Linked DNA regions of Arabidopsis thaliana. The protein of the gene in region 1 interacts with the protein of each later gene in a pairwise test. Each region holds a gene or a part of one and is shown in the gene's direction. Other genes may lie near its edges.

What was found.
Region 2: the proteins of DREB2B (region 1) and URO interact in a two-hybrid assay, tested with the Arabidopsis thaliana proteins (one large-scale study listed by BioGRID).

What each region holds. Positions count from the first base shown.
Region 1 is NC_003074.8:3,453,701-3,458,131, forward strand, and holds DREB2B (DRE/CRT-binding protein 2B), read left to right. Parts: upstream 1-1,654; 5' UTR 1,655-1,853; intron 1,854-2,279; 5' UTR 2,280-2,308; coding exon 2,309-3,301; 3' UTR 3,302-3,599; downstream 3,600-4,431. Other genes in the region: RLP34 (receptor like protein 34), read right to left, coding at 1-161; TBL32 (TRICHOME BIREFRINGENCE-LIKE 32), read right to left, coding at 3,600-3,942, 4,207-4,365. UniProt on the Arabidopsis thaliana protein: Transcriptional activator that binds specifically to the DNA sequence 5'-[AG]CCGAC-3'. Binding to the C-repeat/DRE element mediates high salinity- and dehydration-inducible transcription.
Region 2 is NC_003074.8:8,248,609-8,252,109, forward strand, and holds URO (C2H2 and C2HC zinc fingers superfamily protein), read left to right. Parts: upstream 1-1,910; 5' UTR 1,911-1,970; coding exon 1,971-2,489; 3' UTR 2,490-2,875; downstream 2,876-3,501.

The sequences.
Region 1 (4,431 bases):
TCAAACTCGTTTTTGAACTTGAGAAGTGCATCCTTTTGTTCGGGACGACACAAGTGCCTAGTAGGAGCCGCAAGCACGTCCGAAAAATGACAAATGAATAAGAAAGTAAAAGAAAGAGTAATACGAATGATACTCGTTGAGACCACCCAAGAGCCTTTCATCCTCCTTAATTTACGCTAGCTAGCTAGTCGAATTTTCTTGAATATTGATAAAAGAAAGTGGAGTTTGTGGTAGTAAATAAGATGGTTTCGTGCCCATCTCTTTATAGACATAGTAATAGATTCTACTCCACAAAGATAAATCCAACACAGCTTGACTCACATTATATAACCAGTCTTTCTACCAAGTGTTCTTCACGTTGAAACGAAAAGACTTAAAAGAGTCTTCATGTTGAATAGTCCATTTCCACACATTTTGTCTTTACTTTAATTACGTACAGGAAACTTCGAAAAGTTGTTTTCCCAACCAAATTGGACGACTTGTTACTATGTCTATAAGTCTGATATTATTAGTTCAGAGATGGATATTATCAATTTTGTGCATCAGTCTGAAAAACAAACTCGGGCTAAGGCCCAACAACATAGGAGGATAAAAATAAAACGCAGGCCCATTTGATCACATTCCACCGAACTCAGAAGAGTATAAGTATTCCCCTTTTTGAAAAGAAAGAACAGATAACGTAAGATCGGTTGTGTCTCGCCGCAATTTCTCTTCATACCGTCGTCAACATGTAACGTTCTGTAGTCCGCATGAAACCTTAGCAAATTCGCGAGCTTCGATTTCCAAATTATGGGGGTTTAGGCCGACCGATAATTGAAGACCGTGATGACGAGTTTGATTTTGTCTCATTGATAATGCGTGGACATTTGCTTTGTGTTTGATGATTACTGTTAGAGACTTAGAGTTATTGTACTTAGTAGAAGAGACTAATTGTAAATTAATTAATGCGAGCTTTGGAGTTCAAAAAACCTATAACTGAACTAGAATCTCGTTAATTATTTGTGTGTTTCTCTGATTTTATGCTTTCAGGATAAAACACTGTTTGATGTGCTTCGTATATTCTCTCTTAGAATGAAATGAATTCAGAAGAAAAGTTTGTGGGTGATGGTGATAATCATGGTTGTGATGTTGCTTTGTGTTTGTTTGATTACTTATTTTTTGGAATTTTGGATGTATATTATTCAATTTAATATACTGCCATACTAGAAAATAAATATTATAGATTATAAATCTACTTTTTTGGTTATAAATTATTCATAACATACTGTTAATTTGTTTTCCTCAAAATATCAGATTATTGTTCAAATATTGACTATAATCTTTAAAATGAGACTTTCTTAATAATTAAGTTTCATTATTTAAATATTTATTTCTTAAAATATTAGTATGGTTTTGTGATTCTTGAGTCTTAACATGTACATATTGTATTAAATATGTTTCTGTATGTGTTTATCAACTATAGTAAGGATTCCCATTGCTTACCCGTATTGAGAGCGTGTTTTTGTGTGGTGAAAATTTCAACACGTGTCGTCACTGGGGAATGTTATGATCCACAATTCGAATTAATAAGTGCCATGTCACTACTACTCTCATTAAAATATCAGAAATATCTAGACAAAGTTATAAATACCCTTTCGACCTCTTGATAATATCTGATTTCTGTAAAAAGTTTGTTGTCTTTACAAAAAGAAAAGAAAAAAGAGACGCTAGAAAGAACGCGAAAGCTTGCGAAGAAGATTTGCTTTTGATCGACTTAACACGAACAACAAACAACATCTGCGTGATAAAGAAGAGATTTTTGCCTAAATAAAGAAGAGATTCGACTCTAATCCTGGAGTTATCATTCACGATAGGTATGTTTGATTTCCAATTAATCTTTTCTGGGTTTGTCGATTTTTCGCTGAATTAGTCTCGAAGAGGGTTTTGGGTTTGATGAATTTTGGGTTTTAGATGTTTTCGTGTTCATTGATTTGTTCAAAATGTCATCCTTTTAGGTTTCGCTGTTTTTGAGAGAAATTTGGGAAATTTTCTAATTTAGCGTTTATTTTTTTTTACACGGTTTCTTTAATCTAAGACTCGGGTTAAAAAATTGGAAATTCTAATGCGATTTTTGCTTTTCTATTAATAAAGTAAAACTTGGTGAGCAAGTAAAACACCCTTGGTGCCCAAGTTGTTTCTGTTCCTCTTTATAACTATAAATTCCGTGACTCGATAATTTCTGTTTTCTGAAATTGAGAGGAAGAGACTGATTCAAAACCTTTTTTTTTCCTATCTTGTAGATTCTTAGATTGCGACTATAAAGAAGAAGATGGCTGTATATGAACAAACCGGAACCGAGCAGCCGAAGAAAAGGAAATCTAGGGCTCGAGCAGGTGGTTTAACGGTGGCTGATAGGCTAAAGAAGTGGAAAGAGTACAACGAGATTGTTGAAGCTTCGGCTGTTAAAGAAGGAGAGAAACCGAAACGCAAAGTTCCTGCGAAAGGGTCGAAGAAAGGTTGTATGAAGGGTAAAGGAGGACCAGATAATTCTCACTGTAGTTTTAGAGGAGTTAGACAAAGGATTTGGGGTAAATGGGTTGCAGAGATTCGAGAACCGAAAATAGGAACTAGACTTTGGCTTGGTACTTTTCCTACCGCGGAAAAAGCTGCTTCCGCTTATGATGAAGCGGCTACCGCTATGTACGGTTCATTGGCTCGTCTTAACTTCCCTCAGTCTGTTGGGTCTGAGTTTACTAGTACGTCTAGTCAATCTGAGGTGTGTACGGTTGAAAATAAGGCGGTTGTTTGTGGTGATGTTTGTGTGAAGCATGAAGATACTGATTGTGAATCTAATCCATTTAGTCAGATTTTAGATGTTAGAGAAGAGTCTTGTGGAACCAGGCCGGACAGTTGCACGGTTGGACATCAAGATATGAATTCTTCGCTGAATTACGATTTGCTGTTAGAGTTTGAGCAGCAGTATTGGGGCCAAGTTTTGCAGGAGAAAGAGAAACCGAAGCAGGAAGAAGAGGAGATACAGCAACAGCAACAGGAACAGCAACAGCAACAGCTGCAACCGGATTTGCTTACTGTTGCAGATTACGGTTGGCCTTGGTCTAATGATATTGTAAATGATCAGACTTCTTGGGATCCTAATGAGTGCTTTGATATTAATGAACTCCTTGGAGATTTGAATGAACCTGGTCCCCATCAGAGCCAAGACCAAAACCACGTAAATTCTGGTAGTTATGATTTGCATCCGCTTCATCTCGAGCCACACGATGGTCACGAGTTCAATGGTTTGAGTTCTCTGGATATTTGAGAGTTCTGAGGCAATGGTCCTACAAGACTACAACATAATCTTTGGATTGATCATAGGAGAAACAAGAAATAGGTGTTAATGATCTGATTCACAATGAAAAAATATTTAATAACTCTATAGTTTTTGTTCTTTCCTTGGATCATGAACTGTTGCTTCTCATCTATTGAGTTAATATAGCGAATAGCAGAGTTTCTCTCTTTCTTCTCTTTGTAGAACAATAAGTGTACGTAATTAACAAAAATTATAACCATAATTTACAATTACAGTTCTAAAAAAATCTTGAATTTAGAGAAAAGAATCATGGATAAAATAACTTGGCAAAGAAAAGCTCGTTCCAAGTATCTTGAAGACCAGGCAAGCACCAATGTATACAGTCTGAGTAGCTAGCCGGATTTGCTAGCTGCTCCTTCGTCAATGGGCTCCATTGCTTCTTGTAGATTGACGTGTGCGCGTCTTTCCGATAGCCAGAGAGTTGTGTAATGTTAAGTACCGTCACCGGAAACTCTGCTCTTTGGTCTAATTCCTCTCCTATCACTTTCATTAAGGTTTTGCTGCAGTCTGATGGCCAATGGTTCATGTCTTGGATCGGTGTCGTTTGATTGTAACAATTTTTTCCTTGTTCGCCTCCCCAATCCTCGCCCCTGATCATGGAGGTAGACAAATATGAAACCTTTGTATGCTAAATCTTAGTGTGGTTTCTAATTGCGGATCATGTTATAAGCCACATTTACTTAAACTATTAAAGATAAACCGGATCAATCTAAACTCCATTACTCATTTCATTCAATACCAAATCCGGACTACATTGTTCTAAGCCATATATCTCCTCTCTTTTTGGTTCCTGGTTTTGAATTTGAAGTGTTTATAGATAGTTAAATCACAGTAAAGTTCAAGAAGTTACTGACTTGTAATGAGTAGGAGACATGGTAGCAAAGAAAACCCTCGTCTTCAATGGATCCATATTCTTCTTCACCCATTTAACCATAGTCTTCAACGCCATTCTATAAGCATCTTCACTCTCCATCTCAACGATTCTCTTCTTCTCATCCTTGAAAGAACCTTCCCTTCAAATAACAAATCGAAAAAAATAATCAAATCATAAGTATTATACAGAAAAGTATTTGAGAACC
Region 2 (3,501 bases), 4.8 Mb from region 1:
AATAAATTGATGTAAACATTACATCATTTTTAGTAACTGATACAATATTGATATCAATTACAATAATCGATGTAATTATTTTGATTATTTACATCGGTTACTAATTAACCGATGCAAATTATTTGCATCAACAATATTTAAGTCACTTATTTAAATGATACAAAATTCTTTTACATCACTTTTAACTAATGCAAATATTTATAATAAATGATGTAAAACAACCTTTTTTTTGTAGTGTCTCCAACACTACATAGAGCATTTCTATATATGCATACACTATTCTTTCAGTTTATTACTATTAATGTTGTATATCACCCGCAAGTCCAAACACACATATAAATATTGAAACTGTTGGTGGATATTTTTTCCGTATGATTCTTTTATCAAGCTTAATTATATAGACCTTACCTTGACCGAGTTTGTTTCTTATCCACATGCCAATTTAGAATATTTGTTCGTGCGGGTTTTATGAAACAAATGTTATTGATGAAAGAAATAAATGTAGCTTTAGGAGGCTAAAGTCTACGATGAGCTGTAGTCCCAAAGTTCTTTTTCGTCTGTTATAAATTCACTAGTGAATATTCTTAAGTCAGTAGGATTCTCACATGTTCTCGAAATCCTATAAAACATTAATGCTCCTGATCAGCTTATAGAAAACGAATGACAATAGTTCTTTATCTAAATCCATAAAACATAATGGTATACTTGTTTTACTATATATTATCTGCATGATCTCACTAAAAAGAGACTACGCCAAAAGGAAGTCAGCCTACATAATAACAAATCTATTCAACTTCCATAATATCATTTTTCTTGAGGCTATAATTATTTTCCATTGCATATATAGAGAGTTTTGATCCATCGTGATTCGTTAAACGTTCTATTATATCCTAAAAAACGATATGGCAATAGCTAAAACCGAACTTATAAAACGCGGTTTCAATCGGTCCATAGAAGTTAAAGGGTACCGGTGTGAACGAAGTAAGTTTATGGAGGTGAATATTATTTTGTCGGTTCTGAAATTGAATACAGTAAAATATTAATTTTAGCAATCCTAAGAGTAGCAGGCGATCGCTCATCGATCGTATTTTTTTCTAAGTTTTATTTTGTTTTTGTTAAAGCATATTTTTCTAAGTATAGAAACCATCGAAATCAATTTCAGTTTTGGGGAGAACTCATAATAAATTTCATAAATGCTATTTAATTAATGAGAGCAATTTGTATATTCTTAATTGTTTTACCTACTTTAAGCACAACCACAAGTCCACAACTCCTTAGTGAATGCTTCTTTTAAAAAATTTGGTTTTATTATTTTGTAGGTATTACATGTTCACATTCAAAATATATTTCACACTATATTAGATTAAATTTAACTAAGCTTTAATATTTCACTAGCTCCTACTAGCCTTCCAATTTTTACAATTTTACTTTGCAATTTTTACTCTCGATCCAAACAAATAAGTACTTTTTTGTACTATATTCAAAGATGAACAACTTTATATTTTTCTTGAACAAAAATGAAATTGAATAGAGAGAAACTAGCTACCCTAACTAGTCACTCGAAACCTTATAAATAACACCTTCTGTAGTTTGTTTTCCTATGAAGAATATTTTTCAACTTTATCTATTATATTATCCTTTGTTAAACTTTCCCTGAAAATTGTTAGAAAATAAACTAATTAAAATAATTCTAAGCATGACGTTTTTGTAGTTATTAATTCATGTTACATTAGACGCACGAATTTAATTATAATACACACCCCCGTAATTAAGTACATTAAAGACCCTAAAGTATATATATTAACCATTGATAAAACAATTTAGCCCTAATTAGTGTCCGTTCACACACATAATCTTTCCTTTAGCTTATATATACGCTGGTGTGTGTTTTTAAGAAGCTTCATACACTCATTTTCAAAACATTGAATACTGAGACTTGAGAGAGATCCCAACAGAAGAAGAAGAGAGAGATGAACCACCGGGACAAACAAATTGATTCCGGCTCTGGCTCTGGAGAAAACCGCCGGACTTATGACTGCGACATCTGCAAGAGAGGTTTCACGAATCCTCAAGCCCTCGGTGGTCACAATAACATCCACCGCAGGGAACGCGAAAGATACCCCTCCTCCTCTTCTTCTTCTCACTCATTTCCATTTTCTCTTCCGTTACCATCTCAGTCTCCCTCCTCCTCCACAAACTTCACAAACCCTCCTCCTTATTTTCCGACCATTGAGTCATACCTACACCAAGGGTCTCAGCCACCTATTAACCCTAGCCACAACACACAATACTTTGGATCATCATCATCATCAAGAGGAGGAGGGAGATTTGCTCAAGGGGCGTCTCATGATCTTAATTTGAGCTTAGGGCTCGGATCCATGAATGAAGATGATGACACTCACCGGAGCCCACCAGAGACCGGAGGTTCTCAACCTCAAGATGGTGATCTTGATCTTGATCTTCGACTCGGCGGTCATCGTCATCATTAAGCTTGCAGCGGTTTCCCTCACGTTCGATCCACGTAACCATATACAATATATATATATAGTTGAAAGTTAATCACCGTATAGTGCATGATGTTTATTGTGGTGTTTATATATGTTTTCAATATATATGTAGTATGATCAAAATATGTTGGACTTGGAGTCATGTTTTTATCATGATCGTATGAAGTTTGGGTTTGTATAATTCAAGACTATATTTTTCACTTAAAAATTATAGATCAAATAGGTTAATTTGAGTAATGTTTTTGTTATACCTTTTTCAAAAAGAAAAAAAAATGTTCTTGTTGTCTGAAGTTGGGTTTGTATAGTACAGGATTATTGTTCTTTTCCATAACTATATATTAGTGTAGATCTATAGATCAAGTAGTTTTGCGTAATATGTTCTAATAATTAGTTACGTTGTATGAAATTTGGGTTTGTATAATCAAAGACTATCTATCATTCTCTTGTATAATATTTTACATGAATTTACATTTCAAGTGGGTTTGTATGAATTTACATTATAAAGTAAGTTTAAACTTATATTATGAATGAATTCGAACTGCAATGGGATAAACATTATATGCGTTTTAATAATAGGTTGGTGAAGTTTATAATTTACACCATTTGAAAAGCCTTCCAAATTTAGAAACTACATTTTTGCAGACCCATGTGAGCTCATATGAATCAATCATAGCCTTGATGTTGTAAAACAAATTATGATTATAAAAATGTGATAGTATATTACATGCATAAAAAATAAAGGAGAGTAAATGAAAGTCAAATCTGGGTTTTATGAACTGAAAGTTGAAGTTTAGAAGTAGAAGTAGCGATCAAAGTATGACCAGTTAAAAGGCCCAATATCATTTGGAGGTTTGATTTTTGGGTTCGTAAATTTCAAGAGCCAGATTATGATTTGCTGGGCTTAAAAATCATGGAAAAATTGAAATGACGGTGTTAAAATATATAACTCAAATTAAAGATTTTAATTGGGTGTAGTAGGCTGATTTTTTTATAA